Tamandua tetradactyla: one gene and its partners. The protein of the gene in region 1 interacts with the protein of each later gene in a biochemical or structural test. Links are inferred from orthologs where the notes say so. Each region holds a gene or a part of one and is shown in the gene's direction. Other genes may lie near its edges. The genes, in order: PML, SENP1, MAPK7 and RNF4.

Region 1 (8,260 bases):
GCTGGGAAGAGGGTGAAAGAGCTCTGGTCTAAAGTTTTTCCTCCCGAGGATCAAGAGGCAAGGCCTGCTGCAGAGTGGGAGCTGGGGTCGGGGTGGGGGTGGAGGTGGAGGAGGCATCAAAGGTGGAAGCTGTCAGCCCTACAGGAATGGGTAAGCCCCTAAGGAGGGACCCAGGTGAAATGGAAGGTAGCCAAAAGAGGGAGAATTAGATCCATACACCTGAAAATAGTTCCTAAGATTCAGTTTTAGCCAGAGACACTGACCTTACACTACCAGGTGCCAACCAACTCCATCTGGGCAATGGGCACTAAACAAGTCTAACATCCCAGTGTGGGACTGATTTTCCCCAAACTACCTCTCTTACAGCAAGGCAGTGTGCTACAATGCTGAGGTCAATTTTCCCTTCTTAAGGGTGTTTTAAAGGTGTGCATGTTTACAACTAAAAATTGCTATCAACCTGTTAATGAGTTGTGTTCAAATCAGCACTGGATTGAGGTGGGGGGGTGGGTGTCACGTGGTCTGGCACTCTGGCCCAGCTCTGCCCTTGACCACGCCTTAAAGGCCAGTCAAGTAATTTCTCTGAACCTCAAGTTTCCTCCCTCCAAAATAAAACAATACCACCTAGCTTCTTGCAGCAAAAATGTGAAGCTGAGATACATAGGGGCAGGCAAAAGGACTTTATAAAATGCTGTGTACCTTAGAGCATTATTACTATTATGAATATTATTTTTTCAGGAGTGTGCATTTACTTCTACTCTATCTTTCTGCAGCAAGGGCTCAAGATGGCTATTCCAGGGTAAATAAATTCTCATATATATGGAGGAGAGACAGGAAAAGGGTCCAAATATTTGCACATTACTTTCTTCTATTCAGAACAAAGAAAGCAAAAGCACAAAAGTGCACATGCCCAGGAGGTGACTGGGCCATGGAAAGGAACGTGCTCTTCACCCATCGGCCTGTCCCACGAGATGAGTCAGACCTGGGGCCCAAGGGGTACAGAGGTTCCCTGAGGCCCACTGTTGTCACAGCAACCACCGGGCCCAGCAGAGCAGTGAAGGGTAAAATAACAGCAGAAAGGGCCAGGGTGCCAGGAATTTCCACCCAAGTTACTTCCTCTTCTTAGGGCCACTTCACTCCTTAGCAACATGTTTGCCCAAGCTGGCTGGGCTCTGGACCCACCTGCCGTTCCTCAAAGCACAGTCTCACCGGATCTTCAAAGGCTAGTCCACTCATATGATATACGGAACACTGAGGCCCAGAGGAACCTGTGCTCTGCTCAAAGTGACCCAGCAGGCAGAGCCACACATAGGGGCCGGGGGCCAGCTCTGCTCCTCGAGGCGGGGCAGCTGGGCTGCTTACCAGGAGCTGGTCGCTGATTTTGAGCTTCTCCATCTGGATCTCCCGCAGCGGCCGCTTGAGCAGGGCCTTGGTCATGGCATTCTGGGCTGTCATGCGCGTGGCTGTGTTGAGGTCCTTCACAGTCATCACCGACAGCACCGGGTCCCAGATGCGGAACTGGACGTCAGCCCCCACAGACAGCACTGCCCCGTCCTTAGAGGCCAGCTGTTAGGGGAAGCCACGAGGGAGGACACACGAGAGGACCAGGCCAAGAGGCTGGGAGGTGCAGGGAGACCGGGCCTGCTGGCAGCACCCGGCCTGACCCAGCCACCCGGCAGCTGGCCCTCAGGTACGTGGGGCTAGGTATGTGGCACGAGGATGTCCTTCCAGTGTCTGTCTTCAATCCTCTGGTCTCATCTTCCCTCCCTCCCCAGTTGGCTACTCACAGGCCAAGGCCCTGGTACCCACACTACACTCTGCACAAGCCCCTACTCCCTTCGTCTCTCACCTTGCAGGGAGGGACACTGAAGGCGCGTGTCCTCAGATCCACCCTCTGGAAGGAGTCAATGAAAGGCAGAAGCAAGACCATACCAGGGCCCTGGGGGGTGCGGATACGGCCCAGTCGGAACACAATCATCCGCTCGTAGGTGGGCACGATCTGTCCACAACGGCAAGGGAGAGGATTTAGAGTGGTGAGTTCAGGCCAGCCAATGACTTCTACCCAGGTCCCTCTGGCACCTCTCTCTCCCTCACCTGGTCAGAGTGTATCCTTAGTTCTGTTCTTAGATGAGAAAACCAAGGCTCAGAGACATCAAGTGACTTGCTCAAAAACACACAGCCACTAAGTAAAATAGGCAAGGTGTGAATTCAGTTCCGAATGATTCCAAAGGCCATGCTCTATCCACCACACTGTACTGACTTGATCCTCAGGGAAACTTCTCACCACTGCTGTCTGAAGCTCATGCCAAGAAACCATCTGCCTTTGCCAACTTTTGATGCCTGGAGCCCTCAGGGAAGGAGATTTGTCCAAATTGAAAAATGAAGGCCCAAAAGGACCTTGGGCCAAGGTCATAAAGCGTTTGCTTCAGTGGTGGTTTTAGAACCAGGCTCTAGAACCTTCTAATGACTCTCTTCTAGGCCACACTAAACCCAGAGGCTTAGGGACACCCAAAGGGCAGACTTTCAACTTTACTGCTGCTTTCAGGCATAATCTTCACTGACAACCCTATTAATCATCCTTTTCCCATCTACACCACATCTTGCTGAAAGCAGTGCCTGAATTCCTTATTACTCATTACCTCCTAGGCCAAGTTGATTTCTTTTTCATTTCTAATTTGACCCGACTCAAAGGGAGGAAGATTTGGCAAACATATCCAAGTGAACCATAAATTAAAGCAGTGCCCAGGACTTGGGGGTTTGGGGAGACTTGTTTCTAACACTTACTAGTGCCCGGGAGGAGTTTGGACAAGTCTGAGCCTCAGTTTCCTCATCTGGAAAATGGAATGAACAAGCTTTGCCCAGCTCATTTCACAAAGGTGAGACAGTGGAATATTTAGGAGGAGGGGGCAGAGGAAGAGGGATTCATTCATGGATGCCAAAGCGGTCAAGGAGGCCCAGCCTTACCTTCAGGGCAAACCAGCCAGAAATGGGGAAGGTCAGTAGCAGCAGCAAGAACCCCAGGAAACTGATGAGGCTGTGGCAGAGGCAGGAGGACCAGCTCTGGGGCACCTCTGGGGGAGAGAGCAAAGTGAGTCATAGAATGCCAAGGCAGGACAGCCACAGGCTGAGGGAAGGTAGTCAAGTTGCCTACCTCCTGCTTCAGAGGTGCCTTCTTTCTCAAGGCTTTCAATTAGCCTCCTGGTCTAATGGCCCTAGGTAGGAACTGTTCTCTCTTTCCATGCATTAAAACTAACTTGCCCCAAGTGGAGAAAGGAGACGCGATGTTTAGAGATGCTTGGAGCCCACAGACACTGCCATGAGATGTTAAGCAAGCCAGAACCTGGAGAGAGCCAAGGGAAGCCAAGAAATGAAGGCCAGCCCCAGAGAAGTAAAGTGAGGAACGCCCACAGGGACATAGGCTGAAAGCAACAGAGCTCAGGAGCAAAGGGCCCAGCAGATGCCAGCCACATGACTACCCAGCTGACAGATGTGTTTCTGACCCATCAGCCTTTCTTGAGTAAGGGCAACCTCTTGTTGGCACCTTAGTTTGGACACTTTCACTTCCTTAGAATTGCAAACTTGTAACTTCTTAAATTCCCCCTTTTAAAAGCCAAAAAACAAAACAAAACAAAAAACTAGTCCCAAGTCCCAGGCCCACAAGGCTCTATTTTCTGCTATGCAACAGCCATTGAATCTGGCAATCCAATTCACAAGATGCTCACCTCACTGGGAAGAGAAGGTGTCAATCCCCTGTCTAACTCACGTTGCCTACTTATACCTGGCACACAGCCAAGAGCACATGGGCCTCTGTAACTGCATGCTGGGTTGAACTGAATGCTGCAAACATAACATACTCTTCCTCTACCATCACTCCTAGGGTTTGGAGAGAACATCTTGGCCTAAAAGGGATAAAACATTAATGGCTCATGAACAGAAAGAGTGTTCTTTTCTAGTTCACTATTCCTAAGGACTATCACATACACAATTTACTTTCAAGCAGCTTCAGGTGGGAGGTGGCGGGAGGCCCTCAGAAAATGAGGCTCATCTGAGCAGAGATCCTGATCCCTGGAGGAGAACCAGGCAGGATCCCATGATGGGAGTGCAGCCCAGACAGGCCCAGACTATGGGATAAAATTACTCTGCTTTCTCCTTTCCCAACCCTGGATAAGAAACAGGCATGTCTCTGCTCCATCTTTCCAGGAATGCCATGGCTCTCCAAGCAACGGGGGATCTAAGTCTCATTCCCTGCTTGGCTGTGATCTACATGATCCCTGCAGAAGAAACAGAAACCCTGGGATAAGCACAGTAGAGTAAGGCCAGAATTTGGTTGTCATGCTGAGAAGTGGAGCATCAAGCCTGCAAGCCAAGGAAACTACATAAGAGACAGTGTAGGGCTCTGAGGTCCCAGCAGCACCAGGAAATAGGGAAACAGGGAGACGCCTGGTCCCAGGGCTTCCAGAGGTGACCTCTGGGGTGAAGATTTTTTCACTTCTCTGCAGTCAAGTATCCTTAAGGTGCTGGTGACCTCCTCTGCCTACACTGCAAAATAAGGTCTTGAACTCTCTGTCCAGGCGTAGAAGGCAGATAAAGGCAGAGGAGACATGTGGTGGGGTAAGGCTTTGTAAGATGGAAGCAGCGCTGGCTCCGGGGCCGCAGCCCAGTGGTCCCACCAGGTAGGATGCAACAACGCCGGCACCCTAATACCAGGTCCAGGACCCCTCTCCATCCATCCTCTTGGAGCTCCAGGACGCCAGGTCCGCCGACTCCCAACAGGTACAGGGGCTGGGGCCTGCGTGCGCCGGCCAGTACCGAACCCCACCCCGAGGCCCGCCGTGCTGGGCGGCCACTCACCCGCCCCCGGCCCGACGCCGCCCGGCTCCGGGGACAAGCAGCCCTTCTGCGAGCCCAGGAAACCAAAGCTCGACTGCTGGAAGCGGTCAAAGTCCCCCAAGGGCAGCGCCCGGTAGCCAGACCTGCCGAGCATGGCGCTTGCCAGGTGACACGCCCCACGCCCCAGGCAGAGCCCGGCTGAACGGCGGGCCCTACTGCCCCGCCCCCGCCGCGCTTGCGCTCGGGCCGCCGCTTCCGGCTTCACCTGCGCGGCCACCCGTCGCTGCCGGTGCACAGGAGGGAGAGGCAGGCAGGCCCCGCTCCCAGCGTTGCACTGCGCCCCCTGCCCTTGGAGGACCGAACTGCGGCTACCGGGCGGGGGTCGGCTTTCCTGGGAGCAGACAGGGGTCCGCGCCTGCTCCTCTTGTCTCCTCCGCGGCCTTAGAAAAGGAGCAGGAAGAAAGTTGGGCTTTGTAAGGTGGTTTTCAGGGCCGAATCTTCTCTCGAATCAGGGATATGCTGTTATCAGCTTTCACAGCATTCCGTCTGTAAACTCTCTTCCACTGGGGCGGGACCCAGGGGATGGGTAGGAGGGGTGACTAGTTTTCCTTATCTAGGCTTAATGTTTCTCCAGCAACTAGGAGATGGCAGATGCTCAGTACTTACTTGTTGAATGAAGTCCTTACCAGGTCACTGTGGTCAAGGCGGGGGCGGGGGATGCCTGAACTTTGGCTCCAAAAGAGAAAATTCCATGTGTAGACTTCAAGGAGAAAGACAGAGTAAGGAAGGCGGGTAGCCTGGAGCTATCCAGAGGGCAGGTCCTTCAGAGCATCACAGAGGAGAGCTCCTCAGTCCTGCCTGTTGGGAAACACCATGGCCCTTGATCCAGTTACCCAGAGGTAACTTGCCTCTCCAAGGCTTGAGAAAACCCAAATGCAAATGAGGAATTTACTCTGAGAAGCAACCGCGCCCAACTGGGTGTTGGTCAGGTTCAGAGCAGGCTGTCTTTCAAAGGAAGCAAAGAAAAGAATAAAACTTTCCTTTCCTTGTCTCAGCCACAGGCTAGTCCTGGCTCCCAGGCCCCTCAGCCCTTTGCCATAGTCCACTTCCAGGGCTGCCCACCTTCTCTAGCTTTTCTTAGTTGGGTTCTCAGAGAGCAGCCTGATTCTAAACCCTGGGGGTTCTGACGAGACTGGAGGGTACAGCAGGCTGCTATCCTGGCTGGAGGCTAAGGCTATTTTGAGGCCTTGTTCTGGTGCAGACCTATTCGTGGACAGCATGGGCTGGTGCTGCTGTGAGACCGAAAAAACATGCCAGGCGCAGGAGAGTTATTGGGACTTACAAACAGGAGAGATTCTCGGGTGGCAGCCGGTCTGGAGGAATAGTGCTCCATGCAGGACTGAGGGAACAAGGGGCAATATGATTTCAGAACAAAGATATTCCGTATAGTATGAGAACATCAGGCTTCTGATAGAATCATTAAAGGGACTTAAGCATTGGTACTTTATGAGATTAGTGTTTGATACCATCAATGGCGATTTTACATCTGATTACAATCTTCCACCTCCAGAGAAATTGTTTACTTTTTTAGCTAAAGCAGGCTTGTTGCACGCTGTTTAGGAAGGGGCCCAGGCCCTGGGCCACCACAGGCCTCCCAGTCCCTGGGAAATGGATTATAAATTACCCCCAGATTATAAACTTCACAAGAGCAAGGCCCTGACATCATATATTATAGGCTGAATTGTTTCCCCCCCCCCCAAAATATGTTGAAGGGCTAATTTCTAGTCCCGTGAATGTGACCTTATTTGGAAAGCGAATCTTTGAAGATATAAATAGTTAAGATGCGGCCAAAGTGAATTAGGGTGGGCTCTAATTCACTATGAGTGCTGTCCTTATAAGAGAAGGAAATTTGGGTAGAGATGGGCAGACACAAGAGGGGGGAATGCCATGTGACAACCGAAGCATAGATTGAAATGCTGCAGCTGCAAGTCAAGGACTGCTGGCAAATACCAGGAGGTGGAAGAGGCAAGAAAGTATTTTCCCCTACAGGTTCAGAGGGAGCTTGGCACTGCTGACCCCTTGCTTTTGGTCTTCTAGCCTCCAAAACTGTGATACAATAAATTTCTGTTGTTTTAAACCACCTAGTTTGTGGTAGGTGCTTTGTTATGGTAGGCCTACAAAACTAAGATGTCATCCCTTCTAGTCTGTTACAAGTTGGAACTGAGCAGAAAAATGGGTACTGCTCCAAATAGCTAAAAAGCGCATTAAAAAAAATGACCAGCCTCATAGCTATCAGGGAAATGCAAATGAAAATCACAATTACATATCATCTTATACCTACTAGAATGGCTGTTATCAAACAAACAGAAAACTGCAAGTGTTGGAGAGGATGTGGACAAACAGGAACTCTTATTCATGGCTAAGGGGAATGTAAAACGGTACGGCTGCTGTGGAGGACAGTTTGGAGGTTCCTCAGGAAGCTAAGCATAGAGTTGCCTTATAGTTGGGCAATTCTGCTACTCAGGATATACCCACTTCTGGAAGCAAGGACACAAACAGATATCTCCACACAGATATTCAGACATCCGCGCACCGATGTTCACAACAGCATTATTCACAATTGCCAAAAGATGGAAACAACTCAAGAGTCCATCAAACTAAATGTGGTATCTACATATGATAGAATAGTATTGAGCTGTAAGAAGGAATGCAGTCCTGAAGTATGCAACAATATGGATTGAGGGCATTAAGTGAATTAAGTCAGACACAAAAGGACAAATATTGTATGATGTTATTGACATGAGCTAATTATAATATGTAAACTCATAGACATAAAATATGGAATATTGGTTGCCAGGAAATAGAGTGAGGCTGAAGAATGGGGAGCGGTTGCTTAATACATGCAGAATATTTAACTAGGGTGAACTTAAACATTTGGAAATTTATAGAGGTGACAGTAACACATTATTGTCCAAATAATTAATGGTGCTGAACTGCGTGTGAATGCGGTGAAAATGGGAAATTTAGAGTCATGTATGTCAACAGAAAGAAAGTTGGAGGTTAAAACATGATAATGTATAACACAGTGAATCTTGTGGTAGGTACTTTGTATGGTAGCCTACAAAACTAAGATGTCATCCCTTCTAGTCTGTTCCAAGATAACTGTGAGTGACTGTACAAATATATATATTTTAAAAAAATCTCTTTCATGAACTAGAACAAATTGTGACAATTGCAAAGAGTTAATAATACAGGGGTGTAAGGAAAAATGTACTTATTGCAAACTATGGACTACAGTTAATAGTATTATCTTAATATATTTTCCTCAACAGTAACAAATGTACCACACCAGTACTATGGGTCAGTAATAGGGAAGGGGGATAGGAGGTATGGTAGGATTTGGGTTTTCTTTTTCTTTCTTTTCTGGAGTACT
Region 2 (7,635 bases), on another chromosome or scaffold:
TCATTATACTAGCACCATTCTATTTATGTAACCAGTGTGTGATCATGTGATAACTGCCTTCACTCCCACAAAACTATAAACTTCATAAGGGCAAGAAAGTATCTGTTTTACTATTTTATCCCTAGTGCCAAGTACAATGCCTAACTGTTATATGCCCAACAGATTTTTTTTTGGAAGGAAGGAAGGAAGATGGGGGGGGGGGCAGGGAGGGCAGGAGGAGAGAGAAAAGACATTGGAATAAATTAGCAAGATATTTTATTTCCCTTCTCTAGTGGCAATGTTGGGAGAGTTAAGAGTGGCTCTTACCTGAGGCCTCAATGCTTGAAGCCAATAGTTGAACATCAGAATTTTGTCCATGGGATAATGCTGAGATCAAACCAGAGAGGCAGATCCAAATAAGTCATCAGGGCAAAGGGGGTCTGAGATAGGTATTATTAGTATGGAGCAAAAATGAGAATGGGAAAAGCAGGGAAGATGAGGGCAAATAAGTAATAATCTGTATAAATTTCAGAAACAAGAGGACAAGGCCACCAGTTGGATTTATTTATTGTTTCTGGCAACTTTGTTTTGCATGGGCAGAGCAAGTGTGATTAAAGGGACATAGACCACACATACTTGCCATGCACAAAAAGATATATTTTGATTGCTCCAATATTTGAATAGTTATTTTTATATAAAAATAATGTTCCTGTGAGTCTGGTGAACTCTAGGCACACTAACAAGACAATAAAATTTGAGTTTATGCAATTTCAAAGCTCAGGAGTGGATGGTGCTCTGTGAACATGCTGGAGCTCAGTGAAGCTCTGCCTAAACAGTCATTTGATTTCTCCATTTCCTACTTCTCTATGGCATCTTCTTTTGAAACTGGACGTTTTAGACCAAAGTTATCAAGCTCCTAACTGACACATTGTTTCATATAACCTCTTCTTGGTTGTAAGCTCCTGGGGGATAGGGAGCTTTTTTTTTTTCATTTCTACTGAGCCAACGCATGCACACACACATACACACACACAAACAAAATGACTTCAAATACAAAGTACTGAAAAAAATTTTGCATAAATACTGCTATGTGTTTCAGAGATACTGGGAGAAATTACTCCAATGAAACCACCAACTTGAGAAACTTTTTAAAACCTGCATTTCTTCTGAAAATATAAGGCGGTTGGACTAAGTAATCCCTAAAGTATTTCCAAACTGTAAACTATTGGGACAATGACAAGAATATGTCATATATTTTTTACAACCTATCATTTCTAGTATAATATTGGGCACATAGTGGTAACTCAGTATATGTTTACAGTGAACTAATTCTAATATAGATGTATTTCTATACACACATGTGTTTCTGAAGCATCATGTAAATTGCTTATTAACTGCACATTACTTAAAATATATAAGAGAAATTTGTTATTAAATAGATTCCTAAGGTAAATATTTTCACAAAATTTGGAATCTTTTTTTTTTTTTGCATGGGCAGGCACCAGGAATTGAACCTGGGTCTCCAGCATGGTAGGCAAGAATTCTGCCACTGAGCACTGTCGCACCACCCTGGAATCATTTTTAATATAACTCCTTAACTTAACCCCTTTTTTATTTCACATTTTTACATATCAAGGTTGCTGACATAGGGTAAAACAAATTAGTAGCTTACAGTTATGAGGGAGTAAACTGACTTTTTTTGACTAATGCTATTTTTCATAGAGAAAAATGTTCCTCTTTCTACAGTTTCCCAGCTATCCTCCTACTCTCTTATACATACACACATATACTATCTCCCTAGGTTTTAAGTCATACTTCAGCTTTGGTATCTACCTCAATTTATAATGCTACCCACAAATGTTTCACTTTCCAATAACCTTTCCAAATTTCACCCCTTGTTTACCCATATGCCTCACCGTTTTTCAAAATAGGTATGCCATCCACGGTGCCTGGATCATCCATAGTATTTAGACTCTTCAAGGCATCTGTCTCTGGTGGTGGCTTTTGTATGAGCATGCTTGAGGTTGAAGGTTCCCCAGCTAGGAAGTAGTAGCTTTAGGTTACCCTCAAGGTGGGATTCAGGGAAGGGAATGCTCCTTACTTCCTTCCATTCTCCCTCTAATTCCTGGCTGTCTAGGGCCTTCTTTCCAACAATCCAGTGAAAAATCAGAGAGGTGATGATTCTTTTCAATAACTATCTCACCTCAAAATGGTTCCTTTGATAATAAAACTGGGGAAAAAGTAGGATACATAGTAGACTGGGGTGAAAGAGGCCAGTTTTCTTTTGGAGCTCAATTTATCTTTTAGGTTTTGGAGTATCAATTACAATGGCAACAACTCTCACAGATGAGCCTGGACAGGTTTAAAGAATTCTACAAGCTATCAAAGCTTGTTCTCCTCGATTTCCAAGACCGCCCTATCTGCCTGGGGCCTATCCCCACATACCAGTTCAAAATCTCACCTGATACTTGTACAAAGAAAATATATGACTGAGAGATATAATATCTTGCCATAGTGGTAACAGATAAACAAGTTCAGTTGACCCCAAAGGTCTGTATTAATATGCTGGGGACAATTAAAGTAGCATGTATAAATTCCACCCTCAGCATGCCGGAAACATGCAACATGGCCGCCAGGGCTGAAACAAAGAACAGCCTAAGCTATAATCAGCCTTCTTCACGGAAGTAGTAGTAGTTCACACCAAAAGTACTAGCCATACATCTGCCCTCCACCCTAGCAACAGCAGTCACCAATCCCAAGTCATCCCTTCGTCCTTATTCACCCAATCAGAGATCGCCACCTATCCCTACTAGCTACCCCCTCTCCTTCTAAGTATATATACCCAGCCTTTTCAATAAAATTTTGCAGCTTGATCAGACTACTTGTCTTGCTGTCATTCTTCGCGTCTCTTTGTCCCATTTCATTCTTTCCTCAAAGTAGTTAGAACCTCGGTTGATCGTCCCGCTGGCCAGGACATTAATACTAGTAATCCTGCCTTTGTGATGCCCTGTGAGAGAACTCATTCTCTGTCGCAGAAGTATGATTAGGAGAATGGTACCTGTGCTCTCTGGAGTCCTGACTAACTGTCGAGATTGAATCACACACATGAAAAATTTCAGATGAAATTCCTCTTTATGCATGGTTGTCTCCTAGAAATAGAGGAGAATTCAGATGAAATGAACAGATCTATAGAATGATTAAGATGGACAAAACTGATATGACCGTATATGCTCAAAACTACTAGGCCTTAGAACTTGACAGCAACAAAAATATTAAAATATGTGAAGTAATAAAAGTAACCTACTCTTATGCTTTTGATAGGACATGATCCCCTGAACTCATCAAGCACCCTCTTTTTCCTGCTGCTGAGAGTATCTTTTCTGATACTCCAGACACCTTCCTTAAGTTTGACCTCAGATGGTAGCTGTGAACTAGATCTGGAGTGAGTACATAGATTAATTCTTCAAGACTTTAGCCATGGCCTAGGTCCAAGGCCCAGCCAAGCTGAGGGGGCTTCATAAATGATCCGAATTAAAGACATGCTTCTTTCCATTATTTTCTTTTAAAAAGTACAGCACAGTTTACAAGTTGACCAATGGGGTTCAAGGTACATCAAGGCCACTTAGTCCATCAGAGGTTACAGTCTCCTGGGTTCTTTCCTATCTCTTCTTAGAAAAGTAGATCTTTCGTGGGTTATCTATAGTTTTCCTGACATGTGTGCCTGTGTTTCAAACTGCCCCAGATTTCTAGAAGATTCTACATGTCCCCAGAGTCTAAACTAAACCCTTCCCAAGAGCTTTCTTTTTGCCGGATGGCCAGTCAAGCATGCTGTAGTGCAAACAGTACAGGATTACAAATTTGTAAACTTGTTTCCCAGTCCCAGATATGCCATGCACTTTATAACTTTGGGAAAACAATTCGCTCCTCTCATCGGTTGGAATAAAATATTTCCAATAATCTCTAACTAACGTTCTGCGACTCTCGATAAAACACGGTACAGCCTGAGATTCGACTTAAAATTCAGGTCCCCATCTGTCGGGGACGCCAAACGCTCCCGCAAAATCTAGGACCACAGCAAAAAGCAGCCATAGAAATCGGAGAGTAAGCAAAAATGGCCGTGCGGAACCAGAAGGTGGCGGATACGGAGGCCGAGGGAGCAGAGAAAAGCTGAGGACGGAGAGCGCACTAATAATATTCCAATAATCAGAAACAGAAAGAGCCAAAACTGAAACTTGAAAAGGGAAATTATAACCACAGCCTTTGATGCGCTCGCCACACTGCGCAGGCGTTCCGTAGGTCCTCAACTCTGATCTTTGACCTCCTGCCCCCACCCCACCCCACCCCTTCTCTGGCCCCCTCCTCCGCAGCCACCGAGCCGCTCTTCCGGTGTTGTAGAGGTGGTTCCGGTTCGTGGCGGTTCCCGGGTTTTGCGTTCCGCGCCCGGCCGGAAACCCCTTCGCATAGCAGCCGGTTCCGGTTCGGTGAGTGGCGGCGGGAAGCTGGGGGAGGGGTGAGGATGGAGGGAGCCTGGGCCGCGAGGCAGTGCCGGACCGGGCCGGCCGGTTTGGGCTGGGCGAGGCAGAAGGGGGAACTGCTGAGGCGCCGGCATCTTTTCCTCTGCCCCGCCCCCTGGGACACCCCCCACCTCCCACCCCCCTGCTGTCCACCAGCCGCGGTCAGGCCGGCGGCCGTTAGTTAGGCTTCTGAGGTCGTTCCTTCAGGCCTTCTCCCGGACCGCGCAGAGTCTGCCCCCCTCCCGGTATCGCAGGCCCCGTCTCGTGCTCGGCCTTACTTGTGGGTTAAGGCCGGTTGGGACTCCCGGGCTTTCCCGCCAGAGCGGGGGCTTCTTTCAGGGGAAAGCTGTTTTCGTCGGGAAGCTCAGCTTTCCGTCACTCTTGCTTCACCTCCCGCCTTCCTTGAGACTTGAGGGAGCTTTCTCGACTACTACTGCGATTCACGTCAACATTTCTCCAACTCTTTCACTCAGTGATATTTCCCTGAGATGTGATAATCGCTAGTTCCACCGCCAGAAACAAACGTCTGGACCTTCCTGTCCGGGTTGTGAAAATCCCCTTAACTGCCACAGTTTGCTTACCTGGCTCATCGCCTCCTGGTAATCCCCTTGAACCGTCTCTTTCTTGGTGTGCTCTAACGTGATCTCTCCGGATATATGCTCAGTTTCTCTTTTCTTGAGCTTGGTGATTTCTCTTTATCGGTGCCTCTGCAGTATTTCCACTATCCGTTGGCAATAACTTTACACTTTATCACTTTTAAGCCAGCCCAGTTAAAGTTATTTCCCTTCACGTTTGGTACTTTTGATATTTGGGATGGTGATTCTTGTAACATTAATAAAGAGCCTTTCATAGGCTACCAATTATTTGACTTAAAAGTCCTTGTTCTAATTGGATATCCTAAATGGAGTAAATCTCATCATCTCCCAAATCTTTATCCTTCATAAAAATATTTTGTGTTAAGGACTCGTGTTGGAATGCTGATTACATGGCATTAAGAAAATACAGTTACAGTTAAACCTTAAGCATGATCTCTTAATCTTTCAGTTTAGAGATTCCTGTCTTTTTTTTCGTCCAGTCCCTTTCAGGAAGCCTCATTCTTTTTTGTTTTGAGAAACCTCATTCATCTTTACCTGATTCCAATTAATTATCCCCACTGAGAGGATGTTCTTGGTGTCACCCATCTGATGAGTTAAGTATAGAGGGAGTGAATGGATTTCAAAACAGGTTCTGCTACTTCAGGCTTAAGTGATGTAACTCTTGACTCCTGATATGGGAGCCCTTTTTTCCTCCTGACTCCCTCACCTACCAGTTGCACCACTTTATTGTCTTGCTATGGGTCTGTTTATGGATTTAGCTTCCCCCACTAGACAGTGAGTTTCTCAGTGCCAGGGACCATCTTTGAATACCCAGTACCCTGCACAGCCTGTAGTTGACAGTGTTTGCTGTGTGAAAGAAGTTGAATACTTAGTCTTTCCCTTTTTGTTGTTCTAGTGTCTAATTGGGATATATTACATGTAAAAATATGAAAAACAAAATAAAATTTGTAAGGTTTTAGGACAGATTATACCATTTACGTAATTGTTTTCCAGAGCTCAGGGGAGGGTGATTCATGTGATCATTTCTACAGTCTTCTTATGTCATAAATTGTTCTAATCACGTCTTGATCCTAGCCGAAGCTAATTGTATAATGCTTCTCCTGGTGTATATTTTCCAGTAACTTTATCTTAGCCCTAAACATATTCTTTTTCATACCTCCATACATGTATGCAAACTTTCCAATGCTTTTCCATACTTGTTATATTCTATTACAGTTAGGACTTTACCAACCTTTTTTTTTTCTCTCTCAGATTTCTTATTACCTTGCATTCAGTTACTAACCTGATTTCACCTGATACTTATAACTTCTTATGTTTTTTCAGTAAATTTAAGTGGTCACTGTGTACTAGAAAACTAATTATTAGAATAATTTTCCTAAAAGAACAAAAACTCTTACGCCCACAAAATGCATTTGAGCTACAGGACATGAAAAATCAAAATTGTTGATTTTAAATTGTAGAATCTTTTAAAATTGGATTCACTTATTCCTAATTTCTCAGACACTGACAAGATTATAGAATGTTTTCATTGGTGGCCTCAAAAATTATAGATCGAACATTTCATGGAGAATCTTGAGGTAAAATATCCCTTCCACCAAAGTAATTGTAGATTGGTAAAAATACAAGTACACTGAAGAAGGTGGATGTGTTTTACTAAAATGTGAGTGTGGGACCTTATTTGAAATTATAAATCACTATGGATTCTCCAGGGTTAGTGAGGGATTACTTTTATCTTGCCAGTGTGTATGAGCCCTTAAATGAGGGTATGAAGGGTATGAAGCTTTGTTTGTGAAGGGTGTGAAGTTTGTTTCATAGTGCATTTGCTCAGGAGTCAGGATACCTGGATTCTTGTCCTCGTTTTGTCCTTTATGTGTATGATTTCAGATAAGTCATTTAACCTCTCTGGACATAATCTAAAATTATTTGAATTTCTAGCTTTCTTCCTCTTCATGGCCTTCTAAGGAAAATGCAAAGGAAGTTAACATGAGTGTGTTCTTCTGGGTACCAAATTTTTAATTGACATTCTTCTTAATACCAAGAAAGGGCTAATGATTACAATTATGAGGTCGTTTCGAAAGAGTGAAATGTGAAAAAGCCAGTGTTAATTTATTTATGTTCTCCCTTAATCTAGGGCCCAGGAAATTCTACCTTATTAAAAAATGAAAGAATACCTGGACATTTTCCAGATAAAAGCCTTGTATTAAATGGAGTATTTGAAAATATCTTTGAAGCATAAATCTAAGGCTTAAATTATTTGGGAATCCTCCCTGGCAAGGCTAGGTGATCAGATGATTACTAGTCTTTAACTATGCCAGGAATAACTCAGTCTTCTTTTGTGTGTACATTTTGTTATTGTGACCACAAAGAATGCCTATTACCATCTTCCAGTCTCCTGAATACATTGAAGCCTTAGTATTGCTGTGTAGTTGATGAGGTGCTCAATCTTTTAAAAAATATTGTGGAAGAAAAATACTGTGATATGATTATGAATCTATATAGGTATGAGTAGTACCATCCCTCTTCTTCTCCTCTTGGTAATCTGCTAA
Region 3 (8,099 bases), on another chromosome or scaffold:
TTTCCAGTTGAGAAAGAAACCCCGAACTTCATCAGCATTTCTTGAACAAAGATAACCTCTTGTTGGTGCCTTAATTTGGACATTTTTATAGACTTGTTTTAATTGGGACATTTTCATGGACTTACAACTGTAAACTTGCAAGTTAATAAACTTCCCCTTGTAAAAGCCATTCTGTTTCTGGTATATCACATTCCACCAGCTAGCAAACTAGAACATCTATGCTTTTAAATAACTTTTTTTTTTTGTATAATATAACATATATACAAAAAAAAAAAAAAAGCAAGTTTTCAAAGTACTCTTCACCAAGTAGTTACAGGACAGATCCCAGAGTTTGTCATGGGCTACCAAACCATCCTCTCAAATTTTTCCTTCTAGGTGCTCCAGAATATAGGAAGGAATAAATATTTTTATTCTTCTAGTTAGGTCTTTCATCCATTTTGACTTCATTTTGTATATGGTGTGAGGCAGGACTACATCTACATTTTTTTCTAAGTGGGCATCCAGTTGTCCCAGACCCCCTTGTTGACTATTTTCTCCCCATTGAATGTACTTGGCACCCTTGTGGGAAATCATTTGGCAATAAATGTGTGAGTTTATTTCTGGGGTCTTCATTCTATGCCTTTGGTCTACATTTGTTTATCCTTATGCCTATACCACACAAGTTTTTTTTGTTGTTGTTTGTTTTTTTCTGCATGGGCAGGCACCAGTAATTGAACCCATGTCTCTGGCATGGCAGGCGAGAACTCTGCCTGCTGAGCCATTGTGGCCCACCCCACACAGTTCTGATTATGGCAAATTTGTAGGGAGTTTTGAAATTGGGAAGTGTGAGACCTCCAACTTTTTCTTCCTTTCCAAAATTGTTCTGCCTATCTAGGGCTTACTGCAATTTCATATAAATTTGAGGACTGGCTTTTCCATTCTGCAAAGAAGGCTGATGAATTTTGATAGGGATTGCATTGAATCTGTAGATCACTTTGAGTAGTACTGACATCTTAATGATATTAAGTCTTCCAATGCATGGACTCAACACATTTAATATAATCTAGAGGAAATAAATTCTTACAATCAAATTACCTAAATGATTCAAGAGGAAAGAAAATCTTAAAAAAAAAAAAAAAGATTTAGGTCTTTAATTTTTTTCAGCAATGTCTTGTAGTTTTCAGTGTACATGTCTTTCACCTCCTGGGTTAAATTTATTCCTAGATATTTTATTCTTTTAGATGCTCTCATAAATGGAGTTGTTTACTTGATTTCTATTTTAGATTGCTCATTGTTGATGCATAGAAATACCAGATTTTTGCACATTGGTCTTGTACCCTGCAACCTTGCTGCATTGGCTTAATAGCTCCGGTGGTTTTCTTCGGGATTTGTCAGGATTTTCTCTTATATAAGATCATGTCTTCTGTGAATAGTTTTACTTCCTCCTTTCAAATTTAGATGACTTTCATTTCTTGTTTTTCCCTAATTGCTCTGGCTAGAACTTCCAGTTCAATATTGAAGCACAATGGTGACAGTGGGCATCCTTGCCTTGTTCCTGTTTTTAGGGGGAAAACCTTCAGTCTTTCACTATTGAATATAATGCTAGATGTGTGTTTTTCATAAGTGCCATTTATCATGTTGAGGAAGTTCTTCCCTATTTCTCATTTTCTGAGTGTTATCATGAAAGAGTATTGGATATTGTCAGATGCTTTCTTGCATCAAGATCATCCTTTCCTCCACTTTGTTATATTAATGTGGTTTATTACACTGATTTCCTTATGTTGAGCCGACCTTGCATTCCTGCAATAAATCCCACTTAGACATGGTGCATAATCCTTGTGATATGCTGTTGGAGTTGACAGCATTTTGTTGATGATTTTTGCATCTATATTTATAAGGGATACTGGTCTGTAATTTTCTTGTGATGTCTTTTTCTGGCTTTGCTACAAGGATAATGTTGGCCTCACAGAATGAGCTACAAAGCATTTCCTTCTCATTTTTTCTTTTTTTTTTTTGGAAATATTTGAGAAGGATTGATATTCTTAATTCTTTGAATGTCTGGTAGAATTTACCAGTGGAGATAATTGGTCCTGGACTTTTCTTTGTTGGGACGTTTTCTCATTCCTGATAAAAACTTTTTACTTGTAATATTCTTTTTTTTAAGATTTTCTTTTGTCTTGATTCATGTAGGTAATTTGTTTGTAAGAATTTGCCATTTCATCCAGATTATATTAAATTTGTTGGGATACTTCCATAGTATTGCCTTATAGTCTTTATTTCTATAAGGTCAGTAGTAACGCCCCACTCTCATTTCTGATTTTAGTTATTTGTGTCTTCACTCTTTTTCTTTGGTCAGTTTAACTAATGGTCTGTCAATTTTATTCATCTTTTCAAAGATCTAACTTTTGGCTTTGTTGAATCTCTCAATTGCTTTTCTAGTCTCTAATTCATTTATCTCCACTCTCATTTTTATTATTTACTTCTCCTCACTTTGGGTCTAAATCTTCTTTTTCCTAAAGATGTGAAGTTAGGTTATTGATTTGAAATCTTTTCTAGTATAGAAGTTTACATCTATACATTTTGAGCACTCTTTGCTGCATCCAGAAAGTTTGGGTATGTTATGTTTTTATTTCCATTAATCTCTAAGAACTTTCTAATATCCTTGTGATTTCTTCTTTGACCTGTTGGTTGGTTAAGAATGTGTTGATTTTCACATATTTGTCAATTCTCCAGTTTTGTTTCTTGATTTCTCGTTTCATTCCATATGACTAGAGAAGGTACTTTGCATGAGTTCAATCATTTAAAATTTAATGGAACTGGTTTTGTAACTTAATGTATTATCTAAGCTGAAAAATGGTTCGTGTGCACTGGAGAAGAATGTGTATTCTGGAATTGTTGGCTGGAGCATCACATATACGCCTGTTACGTCTGGTTGGTTTATAGTCACCTATTTCACTATTTATCTTCTGTTGAGTTCTCTACCCATTATTGAAAGTGGTGTATTGAAATCTCCAACTATTACTGTAAAACTGTCTCCCTTCAATTCATATATTTTTGGGTCCTGTTATTAGGTACATACATGTTTAAACTGCTACAACTTTGTGATGAATTGACACTATTGTCAATATATATTTTCTTTGTCTCTTGTAACAGTTTTTAACTAAAGTCTATTTTGTTTGATATTAGAATACCCACCCCAACTCTCTTTTGGTTATTATTTGCATGGAATTTTTTCCTACATTTTGGCTCACACTTTTTAAAAATCCATCTTGCCTTTCTCTGTCTTTGACTGAAGAGTGTAATCCATTTATATTTAATAAAATTACCGATAAGCTAGGGCTTCAAACATTTACCACTTTTTTGTATGTTTTGCATCTTATACTTTTGTCACTCAGTTCCTCCATTACTCTCTGTCTGCTTTTTGAAGCAATCTAATACTTCTAATTTTTTTTTTATCTTTTTTTTTTTTTTTTTTTGCAGGACCTAATATATTTTTCCTGACCCTGAACTTCCCTATTTTATTGTAGGCATCTCAGTAAAGCTTTCAAAACTTAGTGTTAAAAAGAAAAGTGGGGTAAAAAAAAAAAAAGCGTGGAAAAGAGTTAACAGAAATAACTGCCACCATCAGAAAAGAAGAGGGGCTTCTGAGGGGCTCGTCAAGTTCTTTTTCTTCTCTGAATGCATATTAAAACAGGTTATGTTCAATTTGTAAACTGTATTGCGCTGTACACATGATATGTGAAATTTTCTATACGTAGGTTTTAGTGAGATGTAAAAGTAAAAACAGCCAGGTAAATCGGTGGGGAATATCAATAGGGGAAAAATGAGCAAAGGCTTACCAAAACTCATTTCTCGCCTAGATCCAGTCCGTCAGCCACTGGTCTGCGACCTCAGGAATACACAAACCCTCGGCCTGGCACTCAGGCTCTAATGATCGAACCTCATCCAGATCTCTGCGTTCCTCTACTTTCCTACCTCCTCACTCCCCGTTTCCCCAGCTTCCTGAGCCCCTCCTCCTTTTCAACTCGCTTGCGGGAAACCCAGCCATCTCCAGAGTCCTAACTCCAAAACCACTTCTTCTTTACCGCCCTACCTCGAATTCTCCTATGAAAACTTTTCCTTCCAGTTCACAGCGCCACCACGCTCGCCCTTGCTCCTCAGCATGAGCCTTAGAGGGACCGTGCTCCCCAAGTGTTTTGCCACGCGAACGAAGGAACTGTCGGGCTCCGGAATGGCTCAGGGGACTCGCTCCCAGGGCGGGCTCGGTATTCTCGCGTGTCAGTTGCCCTCACGTCTCTGAGGATGGACGGCTCGGCCCGCGGCCCAAAGTGCGGGAGAGAGAAGAAAGCACCGACCCGCAAAGAACAGAACACGGAGCTGAGGCCCAAGGATGCCGGAAGCTGTGCGGACAGGCCCAGCAACCGGAAGTCAGTGGCGGCTATCCGCCGGCCGCTCTAGACGCCCGGAGGACCGAAACCTCTATGGTTGGACCCGACGCGCCTCGCCGCGATTCCCGCCTCTACCGGGAAAGATGGACTTCTAGAGCCGGCCTCCGGGGAACGAGAAATTGGGGTCTTCACAATCCCCGGGGCGATGCGGACCGTTAAGTCAACAGGAGCCAAAAGGCGGAGGATTTCGGAACCCGTCTCCAAGGTAACAGTCCTACGCCTCACAGCTCTTCCGGCCGACAGCCGCCCGACAGCCGCCCGACGAGCCCTTGAGCTCCTGGGACAATCTCGGATTGGCCGCGAGGGCGCCGAGCCTAGATGCGCGCAGGCGCGTGCAGGCGCGGGGGCGTGGCCTTCCATTCACGCCGCGCCTGGGACTCCAGCGCGCATGCGTCAGGGACGACGCCGGGCGAAGGCTCACTCACGCGAAGCAAGGTACACACACACCCTTCGGGCGGCTCCTGCCAGGGGACCCGGACAGTGGCGCGCGCGCGCGCGCGCGTGCAGGCGGGAGGAGTGGCTTCCTCCGCAGGGAGCGTCGGATTGGACGCTACGCGTAGGAGGGGCGGGACCCTCCCCAGAAACTGCCTGGCGATTGGCTAGGCGTTGGATGGGCGTGGTTTAGGGGGCCGGGCGGGCAGAGCGCGACGCTGAGGTGGTGGCGGCGGCGGGCCTTGAATAAGTGAGCGACTCTCGGCATCCCCCTCCGTGGGGAAGGGAGGCCCGGGGAGGCCTGGCAGCCTGCGGGAGCCCTGAGGAGGCGTCGGGGTGCGGCTCCGCTCGGTGAGTGTGGACCCGAGGGAAACCCCAAGTGCCCCGCCCCTTCCTTTCTTCCTGGGCCGCGGCTTGCGGCCTCCCCACCCTGACCCTCCGTGTAACCCTTGACCCTGTGCTCAGGACCCCAACTCGCAGGTGTAACCCGTCTGCTCCGCGCCCAGCCGCTCTGTTTCGACCCCCGATCCGGCCTTCCCCCCACCCCCTTGCTTTAGAGGACTTGGAGATGCCCCGATCTGACCACCTAGCCCACAGAGGGGAAACTGAGGCCCACGGGATGCGCGCCCCTCTTGACCAGCGTCTCCATGCAGACGCCATGGCCGAGCCCCTGAAGGAGGAGGACGGCGAGGATGGCGCCGCGGAGCCCCCGGGGCGGGTGAAGGCGGAACCCGCCCACCCCTCAGCCTCCGTGGTGGCCAAGAACCTGGCCCTGCTCAAAGCGCGCTCCTTCGACGTGACCTTCGACGTTGGGGACGAGTACGAGATCATCGAGACCATAGGCAACGGGGCCTACGGGGTGGTGTCGTCTGCGCGCCGCCGCCTGACGGGTATGCCGGGTTGGGGTGAGGAACCACCTCCTGCCTCCCTTCTCTTCCCCCAGGACAGGGGGTGAGTCAGCCTCTCACACGTATGGAAGCCGGTTCCCAGGGAGAGAAACCCGGCCAGGCTCAGTTTGGAAGGAAAATCGGGATATGGAGTTCAGTGTGCAAATCAGCAAGTATTGATTAGGTGCCGGCTGTCTGCCAGGATCCATCGGGTCCAGCCCCCTGAGTGTCTGATCCGGTGACTTTGCCATCACCCGTAGACGTCTGCTTCCTCTGTTGAAGAATGCCATTTCCTGTGGGGCCAGCACAGAGAGTTCTTGGTGTCTGTGAGAGACATGGATTTCAGAGCCACAGACTGGTGCATGGGATCGGTGTGGGGGGATAGGTGAGGTGCGAGATGGAGGGTGGGGAAGTAGAGCGAGCACAGGTATTAGCCTCTTGGTTCTATCACAGGCTAGCTGCACAACCTCCCAACGAGTTACCGAGCCAGGTTTCCTTGGCCGTAAGCTAAACTGTTGGTGCCTGCTTTGTAGGGGAGTCGTGCCGATCAGATCTGATAACGTGTGTAAAGTGTTCAGCACAAGGTTTCACACGTAGTAAGCTGTTCAGTAAACAGACGCTGTTGCTCTCTGCACCTCAGAAGCCAAGGGGGACCTGGCGTCACTCCACAGCTTCCCCTGGGTAACCTCACCCCCTGAGGTCTGCCTTTTCCCTGTTCCCCAGGCCAGCAGGTGGCCATCAAGAAGATCCCGAATGCTTTTGACGTGGTGACCAATGCAAAGCGGACCCTCAGGGAGCTGAAGATCCTCAAACACTTCAAGCATGACAACATCATTGCCATCAAGGACATCCTGAGGCCCACGGTGCCCTATGGCGAGTTCAAGTCTGTGTAAGGAGCGGGGCTGGGAGAGGGCTGAGCTGGGGCCATACTTTCGAGGTTCTGGAAGGGCAGCAGCATCCAGGGGAAGGCAGGCTGGGAAGATTCCCATGATTCTGGGACAAGCGCTTCTTTAGGGATTTGCCCAGGGAAACTGATATTCTCCAGTAAGGGGGCAGATGTCACAGTGTTAGAGGAACTCAGGGTAGTTAGTCCAGGATGGTGAATCTAGTATGGTGCCACCACTGCCCCTGCCCACACTCATGGCAGGCATCACTAAGCAATCACCAAACGCTTTCCTACAGGAAGTGGACAAGGCTCTGCAGTTTTCCTCATAGTCCTTCAATTAGTCACTGCCAGACAGTGGATATGGCCCCCAAACAAAAACCTATTGGCTATACCCAGTTTACTCAAGCCCCTCTTTTGTCTGATGGGGAAACTAGATCCAGGGAGAAAAAAGCTCTAACCAAGTTCATGACTATGTTAGTTTGCTGAAGTTGCTGAAATGCAATATACCAGAAATGGGCTGGCTTTTAGCAATGGGGATTTATTGCTTTACAGCTTACAGTTCTGAGGCTGTGAATTGTCCACATCATTGGGCAGTGCTTTCTCCCCAAAGACCAGCTGCTGGTCTGTCAAGGCGACGTCTTCTGGTCTCTCCCTTCTCTTCTGGGCTTTGTTGCTTTCAGCTTCTGGCTGCTCCGTCTGTGGTTTTCTTTCTGAGCATCTGAGTGGCCTTTCTCTCTCAGTGTCTGTGTTTTTTCCTCTCTCAGCTTTTCTGTCTTTTTGTTACTCATCCTTTTATAAAGGACTCTAGTAACAGGATTAAGACCCACCCTGAGGCAGGCCTCCATGAAATAATATTAACAAAAAGGTCCCACCCACAACAGGTCTACACCCACAGGAATAGGTTAGCGTTAAGTAACTGGTCTTTTCTGGGGTCCATAAAACCTCCACACCATGACAATAACAAAGGCATAGAGACTTTGGAACCTGGATCTCTTTTTCCCTACCATGTTGTTGACTTCTACGGGGACTGGGGGAGAGGGTGTTGAATGGCACAGGTGCAGTGGTGAGGGTGGGGCTAGTCCCTGGACAGGAGAGGGCCAGCCCATGCCTTTCCTTTCACCACCACTCCCCACCCTGCAGCTACGTGGTCCTGGACCTGATGGAGAGTGACCTGCACCAGATCATCCACTCCTCCCAGCCGCTCACACTGGAGCACGTGCGCTACTTCCTGTACCAGCTGCTGCGTGGCCTCAAGTATATGCACTCCGCCCAGGTCATCCACCGCGACCTCAAGCCCTCCAACCTGCTGGTGAATGAGAACTGCGAGCTCAAGATTGGTGACTTCGGGATGGCCCGTGGCCTGTGTACCTCACCTGCCGAGCACCAGTACTTCATGACTGAGTACGTGGCCACGCGCTGGTACCGCGCCCCTGAGCTCATGCTCTCGTTGCATGAGTACACACAGGC
Region 4 (7,734 bases), on another chromosome or scaffold:
TCGCCATCAAGGGAATACATTAATGACTTGTCTACAGAGTTCCTTGGGAATTCAGCTCCATTCCAATTGGCTTCAGTAGCAAGTAACAGAAAGCCCATTGCCACCCAGTTTTCAGAAGCAGATTAATTAACTCACATGGCTGGCAACCCAAAGATGGAGTGGACTACAGGACATGCCTGATCCAAGAATTCTGAACTTAGGCTGATAGCAGTTCTAGCCTGACCACATCCAGAGGAAGAGGGGCCTTCTCACCCTACTGGCACTCTGGAAGGAAACATCTCTGTCCGCAAGGTCCCTGGTCACCTCTGCCTACTGGTCAGAACTGAACATGCCACTGCTGAGCCAGTCCCTGCAGCAGGGGAGTGTCTGCAGGAGTCCCTGAAGCGAGCACTGTGGCAAGACCAGGAATTACCTGTCACCTATCAGGCTGACCCCTGGAGCAGAGAGGTGATGCTCAGAAAAACAATTGGGGTGCTTTTGGCAGCACTGTTCGTTGGCAATCAACAAGGTTTCCCACCTTGCCCCGCCCTCGGGGACCTGGGAAGCTGCTCAGAAAAGGTGTGAGGGCACCTACAGCCTTTTCCAGGGACCCTGCCCTGAACAAACCTGGGTGGGAGCAGGCCTTGGACAGGCCTTGTGTGGGAGATCGGTGGTACACACACCCCTTGCCATGTGACTTTTCACCTCCTCCCGGTGAGGTGCAGACTGCCTCTCCCAGCCCTTGCATCCAGGCTGGCCCTGGGGCTTGCTTTGGCCAACAGGGTACAGCAGAAGTGGCCATGTGCCAGTTCTGAGCCCAGGCTTCAGGGGGCCTTGGAGCTCCCACTTGCTGTCCTGGAATGCTGCCCAGCCAAGGGCAGACAAGTAGATAAACAAAATGTGGTATATACATACAATGGAATATCATGTGGCAATAAGACAAAATGAAATCCTTACGCATATGACAAAAATGGATGAAACTTGAAGACAGAATGCTGTGTGAATTAAGCCAGACACAAAAGGATAGATACTGTATGATCTTGCTATTATAACCTTAGTGAAGGTAAACTCAGGCTTATAATGTAGAATATAGGGGACCTAGAGATACATACAAACTAAAGATGGGTGAAGGGTTAGCTACTGAGGTTGAACATAAATATAAGGGAATGGATAGAAATGAAGGTGGTTCATTAAAGTAATATGCCATATTGAAGGTGAACATGATGACGGGTTGTACAGAGCCAGGTATCCTACTGATCAACATTACAAATATAAAATTCTTGCATGAACTACTTCAAAGATATGGATCTTGTACAGAGAGTCCATAATAGAGGCATATGGGGGAAAACTACTCTTGCGTGCAATGGGCTATGTTTAACAGGAACCCATCAACGATAACACAGCAATATCAGGGGTAAGTATTGGGGGGAAGGACAAGAGTTAAGGGGAGGTTTGGAATTTCTATGTGGTGAGAGTGTGTTTATCAGTTATTTTTCCCTTTGGAGCAATGAAAATTGCCTAAAATCGAGAGTATAATGTTACACTATTAAGTGAGGATAATGTGAAACATGGACTGTTGACTTTGGGCATTGGACATGATGCCCAATGGATGAAGGTGGCTGAAGAATGCACTGACTGAGAAGTAGAATGGCAAACTGTGCTGTATACATGATGGGATATTGTGGAGGCTACAGAAAGAATGAAGTCATGAGACATACAACAAGGTTAATGAACCTTGGGGACATTATGTCATGCAAAATAAGCCAGAAGTAAAACAACAAATATAGTATGATCTCTTTCAGAAAATACGTGTAAGAAAATTGGGGCCTAGTGTAAGCTCTTAAAGCAGTCACATTTAGTCCAGAGTTGTAAATGTTATTTCTAGATTTTGAGTTACTGTGCTGTATATGTTTAAGCAGGTATCTCCCTGGAAGTTTGGCTATCTGTATGACACCTAAGACTCAGAGCTGGAGTTCTGCAGTGCTAAAAGTCAGCATTGCTACATACCACAACTGTTAAGGAAACCAAAAAAGAGTTCAGGCTTCAAGGACAGAGAAGAATGAAGCTGATCTGGTCGGGACTAAGGTCAATTAGAATACAGGGTAAACAATGACATCGTATTTTAGAACTTCATCTACTGTATGAGACCAAAGAAAGAGAGGTTTATTTTGTCCAAAATCTAAATTTTCTGTAGCACATACTCTAACTCAACCTATCTGGACAGATCATTTAAACAACCCAAACACACAGAGCCCAGAATGGGAATGAGGGCTTGTTATTCTGTATAGCTTAATGTAAGGCCTGGATACATCCCAGAGTATGTTGGGCAGTTAATTAAAAAGTATTGGCAAAGTGCCTTGAGGGACAGGAGAAAACTATGGAACTATTAGGCTTTACTATCAGGGAAACCCCTAAGACTGTCTCAAACTTTAGGGACTCCCAAGTCAAGGCCATGGACTTGATCTTGAGGCTTGCGCTTATAAAGCTTATTTCTGTAGCCAAGAAACAAAGCCTACCTATAGTTATGCCTAAGAGTTACTGCCAGAAAACCTCTTTTGTTGCTCAGATGTGGCCTCTTTCTCTCTAAGCCCAGTCCTGCAAGTAAAATCATTACCCTCCCTGCTACATGGGACATGACATCCAAGGGTGGAGGTTTATGGCAACATGGGACTGGACTCCCAGGGATGAGCCTGGCCCTGGCGCCCTGGGATTGACAATGCCTTCCTGACCAAGAGGGGGAAAAGAAATGTTACAAAATAATTTTATCAGTAGCTCAGAGAGTTCAAATAGAGTCAAGAGGCTATTCTGAAGGCTACTCTCTTATGCAAGCTTCAGCTAGATATTGCTAATTACCCTGGTGTGCCAAAGTCCAACCAACACCTTTCCTGTTAAACCTAAAGAGAGCCTAGGGCTCTAAAAGTCTGCAAAAGTTTCATGCACTAAGATTACTTTCCAGAAACCTACAAGCTTAAGATGGTTCCTGCTAGATAAGTCCTGAAACCCAGAGGGGACAGCCTCTTCAAGTACCTCAACTAGTTCCACCCCCCATCCCTTATTATTGACACCCTCTTTCAACATGAAAACGTTAGAATGGGCATAGCCCAAATATCCGTAAAGATTGGGAGAAGTATCAAAGGAGGAGGAGGAGTCGTAAGGAAGAAGATAGGATTTAACAAATGAGTATGATTTATATTATATTATAAACATTATATTGATATTCTGTTTAGTCTCCAGTGCTTGGAGCAGTTAGAAGGAAAAACCTAAAATTGTGGCACTGTAATCCATACTGAACTCTGGAATCTGTTCCATAAGAACTTGCTACAATACACTTTGAAATTTATTGCCTTTTTTATATATGTTATATTTCACAATTTAAAATTTTTCAAAAACTCAAACCTTCAACCCATATTTTACAATGGAAGCAGATTACATGAAATTCAAGCAGATTATTGGTCCATGTAACTCAAAACTACTCATGCTCTGGTTATGATCTGCTGGTATGATCCTCACCTAACTCAATATTCCTGGATTGAAGATCCCTTGAGGAGACAGCATTTGGGGTGTCCTTACTGCCTGGGGGTGCCTAGGCACCACAGATGATGGTCAACAGGGACAAGCTGGGTTCCTTTTCCTGGTTGCCACGGCAACAGTCCCTCCAAGCCCAAGTCCAGGCCTGGGTCCAGGTCCTAGACCGATGCCTCCTGTCCGATTCTGACCTGTAGCCCTCACCCAGGGCCTGGCATGCCCTGTACACTGCTGTGCGATGTGTGCCCCACGTTCTCCCTCTGAGGATAACCCAACAGTTGAGACTTGATTAAATGACGGCGCTGGGATTCAAACCCGGGAAGTATGCACTCTTTTGAGCCTGGAGTTGCCTGAAATGCCCCCCAGAAGCTCCTGACAGCTCCAGGCGTCAGCCACTAAAGCCCCTGCCTCGGTCACGGTCTCTTTCGAAACCTCGACCCCGTCTCAGTGCTCCTCCACGGGTTCAGCTCTGACTTTTCTGACCCACTACCCTCCCACCTGGCACACCTGCTCCCCAACCTGCCTCCGGGCACACTGCGCAGCCTTCAGCTTCCTGGACGTATCAGGGTTCTGGGACACAGGACCCCTCTTGCTGGAGCGCTCTCCTTCCAGCCCCCAGGTCTCTTCTGCCGGGAGCCCTCCCGGCCTTCCAGCTGCCGTGCCTCCTCGGGTTCCCGCTCATACGCTTCCTTTCCAGGCGGCCGCGAAAGGGTCCCGGGATCAGGCCCTCGCCGGGAGAGAGACGGATTCGCCGGGCCCAGGGCCTGGCTCATCGTGGGTCGCGGGCTCCCCGGAGAGGCTGCAGATCCAGGGCCAGTTTCCGGCGGGCAGCCTGGGGGCGTCGCTCCAGGAACGCTCTCCGCAAAGGCCTACTGAACAGGAAGGGAAACTGAGGCCCAGGGTGAGGACGGGATTAGGCCGCGGACTAGTGTCCAGCCCCACGCGTTGTCCGGCGTGCCGGACTGTGACCTAAGAGGAGTGACTGGGGGGCGCTGAGCTCCGCAGACCACAAGCGGGCCGGCTCGGTCTGCGGGCTGCCGGGGTCACCAAGTCACGCGCCCCCGGCCCACACACCACAACTCCCGAGATGCCACGCGGTGGAGAGCCGGTCCTCCTCGGCTCTCGCGGAAACATGGGAGCTTGAGCGGGAGGACGTGGGTGGGGCCGGAAGGAAGCCCTTTTCAAAGGAGTAATAGATAGTTTTCCTAGCCAATAGGATTGAAAATATGATTTCTCCGCCTATTGGCCGAGGAGGTAGGGGCTGTGGCGACCAATGGGGACGTGCAAGGGGCGGAGCCGAGGTCTCCAGAGCGGAAGTAGCCCTCTGTTTAGGCGGCGGCGTCTTGCTAGTTCTCCTCCGCGGTTTCCGAAGGTGCTTTCTCTGCGGGCTCGTTGGCGACGGCGCTGCGGGACTAAGCCAGCTCCACGTAAGGCCAGGCGTCGCGGGCAGGGAGCGGTAAGTCGGCGCTCCGGCAGATGCGGGGTTCAGGCTGCCTCGCGGCCTGCACAGGCCTCATTGCAGGGGCTCGGGGAGCTGCCCTGGCGCCACTCAGGCCAGCTCGGAGCCGCCCCCTCAGGGATCTCGGCCGACTCCCCGATCTCCGGCCCGCACGGATGGACGGAGGCCGGCGCTGGCAGCGGAAATGGGAAGGCCTCCCTCCGCCCTCGGCGCCCCGCAGCGGGCCGGCCGTGGGCTTAGCCTGTAACCTACGGAGGGAAACTGAGGCTTGGGGAGGGCACCGGACGCGTCCAAGGTCACTCGGAGAGGCGAGCCGGGGCAGCTCGGGGCTAAGGCGCGGGCCTGTGCGGGCCGTTCCGGGGGAGCCGTTGCGGGGTTTTGTTCCGGGTGGCGAGGCCTCCTTTGTGTCGTGCCGCCGTCGCGGGGCCTGTGTGGCCGCCTCGGTGCCTGGACCTGGGGGTGCTCCCTTCCCCGACTTGAATGGGGAAGCTTACGGTGCGGGTGGGGGGGGGGTCGGATCCTCCAGAGAGCGTCCGCCCGGCGCCTAGCTTCTAGGAGCCGCGCGGCTTCGGGCAGCTCCTTCCTACCGGGGGTGGGGGGGTGGGGCGGGAACAGGCTATGGAGGCCAGGCCCCCGCGCCTGGAGCGCCTACTCCGCCCCTGCGCCCCTGTAGTCAGGGGTATGGAGATTATTCAGATTCTTAAGGCCTGAGATTCGAAACACTATACACAAAAAATACCCCCTTTTGATCCGTTCGGGGAGAAGGAAAGGAAATTGAACCTGGGGGAGCCTGCGGTGGCTGTTTTTTGTGTGTGAAATTTCGGCTTTTGTCTTATCCTTGCTACAGCCCATCACATTCCCAATCCTTCCTCCGCTCTGCGCCTGCACCGAGTGCCCAGAGGCAGTCTCGGGGTCTCAGCTCTGCAGTCTTCAGGCGCAGAGTGCCCAGAGGCAGACTCGGGGTCTCAGCTCTCAAATTTAGTCTTTGCACTCAAATTTAGGCTCCCTAAGTGGTCGGGGAACTGAGGCCCAGAATGGTGGAGCGATCTGCCCGAGCTAGTTGGCGTTACAGCCCAGGTTTCCTGGCTATGGGACCAGGCTTTTGAGGTCAGTGACCGAGAGTTTCTGGAGCCACTGGTAACGAAAGGCGGGTATGTTGGCAGCAATTGCTTTTCTGATGGTTTCCTTTTGAAGGGGTGGGAGACTTGTTGGGCTCAATTTTATCCATGCGTTTGAGGTGAAATGGGAACGTTGAAGTGGAAACATGTACTGCTGGCCTTTCTGTTGATTTTGAGCTCTCTGCTCTGACTCAAAAATGTTCCTTTAGTACAGTGTTTCTCAATCTTTATTCCATGATTACTCCCTAACATCCTTTCAGGCTTTTTCCAGAATTACTTCTACCTTTAAATTTCTGTGCTGCATATATACTATGTTTTTTTTTTCAGATATGCGTTCTACACCTCCCTTTCTTTCAGAGTTTTCTGTTATACCTACATATGCCTCCTGAACTTGTCCACATTTTGCTGTTATTCTGTTGTTTTTCATCTTCTCTCTGTTTTATTTTAAACAGTTTCTGTTTTTTTTAACGTACTGCATGTGTGTCTGTGTTTTTTAGTAAAAACGCTATTAGAGATTTTTTGCCTCTTTTGAGAGTGCATGCTTTAGTTTACTAAGTCAGCACATTCTTAAGGTGATCTCTGTGCCAAGCTTTCTGCTTGGGTTACAAGATAACATGGGGCTGGCCGTTGTGAAGCTAAGTAGGGAAGGTGGAGAGAGTGAGAAAAATCCCCGGCAGTTGAAATATAGGTTGAGAGAGATGTGGTGTGTCAAGAGTTGAAACTGCAGAGGTAAGCAGGCACCGGACCACGAAGGGTCTTGATCTTAAGGCCAGTGGGAGACTACTGAATTGAGTTAATAAGCAGAGAAGTAACACAGTTTGCATTTTAGAAAAACTGCTATTCGTGAAAAGGATGAATTAGAAAGGTAGACAAGAATAGTGGTCCCTGGGCCACAGTTAGGAGGAAATAGAGGTAGCTTAGCCAGGGGTTGAGTGAAATGATGGAGTCAGGAACGTGGTATCTGTGATGGTTGCTTGGCAATCACTGTTCTTTGCTTACAATTCTTCTGGGAAAAAAATCCAGGTGCTACTCAATAAAAATATGTGCATAAAGTAATTGGTTTATATGATGTGTAAAAATGGATTTGCGTGTATATGTTTTGTCTTTATTTTGAAATTATTTACCTACATCTTTAACTGTACCCAAATTTGTGGTCTTTGAAGGATAAGATCGCTCATATAGACTGTTATTGGGCTGACCCTTTATCATTGAGGTATGACTTGCATCTGTATTCTTTCAGCTTGTCTCTCCTCAAGATCCTGTTTCTCAGGTGGGCTGCAGGCATTTTGAGGTTTTCGTTGAGAACAAGGGCCCAGAGCACAGCTCTGCCCCAAGGTAAGGGTTCAAGTTTGAGAAAACGTGAAGTTTGGGTATAGGGATGGGAGTGTGGGAGTGGAGGTTGCTGCTGCAAGGATCAGAAATTTCCTCTGGAAGTGTTTTGTTTAGTTTTTTCAGGCATAAGTAAGAACTGCCGAGTTTATTGGGTATCAGACATGAAGAGTAGGAAGGGCCTGGAAACTTCTCAATATTATCAGTAACTTGTTGTGCAAGAGAAGCTGTGACCGTAATGGTTTCCTGGAGCAATTATACCACCTGGTTTCCTGGTATACCCGCTAGAGTAAGTTAACTACAGCGTGTGCCTCCAGATAGCTG

What was found.
Region 2: of the proteins of PML (region 1) and SENP1, one has a biochemical effect on the other in vitro, tested with the Homo sapiens proteins (2 studies listed by BioGRID). The link is inferred for Tamandua tetradactyla from reciprocal best matches to the Homo sapiens genes PML and SENP1.
Region 3: the proteins of PML (region 1) and MAPK7 form a complex in vitro, tested with the Homo sapiens proteins (2 studies listed by BioGRID and IntAct, with this or other methods). The link is inferred for Tamandua tetradactyla from reciprocal best matches to the Homo sapiens genes PML and MAPK7.
Region 4: of the proteins of PML (region 1) and RNF4, one has a biochemical effect on the other in vitro, tested with the Homo sapiens proteins (3 studies listed by BioGRID, with this or other methods). The link is inferred for Tamandua tetradactyla from reciprocal best matches to the Homo sapiens genes PML and RNF4.

Annotation. Positions count from the first base shown.
Region 1 is NC_135338.1:68,045,471-68,053,730, reverse strand, and holds the start of PML (protein PML), read left to right. Parts: upstream 1-4,979; coding exon 4,980-4,993; exon of another isoform or gene 4,994-5,080; intron 5,081-5,092; exon of another isoform or gene 5,093-5,130; intron 5,131-5,493; exon of another isoform or gene 5,494-5,809; intron 5,810-6,169; exon of another isoform or gene 6,170-6,226; intron 6,227-8,260. Other genes in the region: STOML1 (stomatin-like protein 1), read right to left, coding at 1,360-1,563, 1,847-1,996, 2,092-2,179, 2,782-2,828, 2,962-3,068, 4,849-4,981.
Region 2 is NC_135333.1:108,140,372-108,148,006, reverse strand, and holds the start of SENP1 (sentrin-specific protease 1), read left to right. Parts: upstream 1-4,378; 5' UTR 4,379-4,460; intron 4,461-4,472; exon of another isoform or gene 4,473-4,966; 5' UTR 4,967-5,092; exon of another isoform or gene 5,093-5,176; intron 5,177-7,635. Other genes in the region: PFKM (ATP-dependent 6-phosphofructokinase, muscle type), read right to left, coding at 1,896-2,018, 3,038-3,119. UniProt on the Homo sapiens protein: Protease that catalyzes two essential functions in the SUMO pathway.
Region 3 is NC_135332.1:2,655,983-2,664,081, reverse strand, and holds the start of MAPK7 (mitogen-activated protein kinase 7), read left to right. Parts: upstream 1-4,870; 5' UTR 4,871-5,210; intron 5,211-5,324; exon of another isoform or gene 5,325-5,416; 5' UTR 5,417-5,427; coding exon 5,428-5,749; intron 5,750-5,759; exon of another isoform or gene 5,760-6,131; intron 6,132-6,469; coding exon 6,470-6,635; intron 6,636-7,772; coding exon 7,773-8,099. UniProt on the Homo sapiens protein: Plays a role in various cellular processes such as proliferation, differentiation and cell survival. The upstream activator of MAPK7 is the MAPK kinase MAP2K5.
Region 4 is NC_135345.1:2,217,869-2,225,602, forward strand, and holds the start of RNF4 (E3 ubiquitin-protein ligase RNF4), read left to right. Parts: upstream 1-4,493; 5' UTR 4,494-4,960; intron 4,961-7,734. UniProt on the Homo sapiens protein: E3 ubiquitin-protein ligase which binds polysumoylated chains covalently attached to proteins and mediates 'Lys-6'-, 'Lys-11'-, 'Lys-48'- and 'Lys-63'-linked polyubiquitination of those substrates and their subsequent targeting to the proteasome for degradation.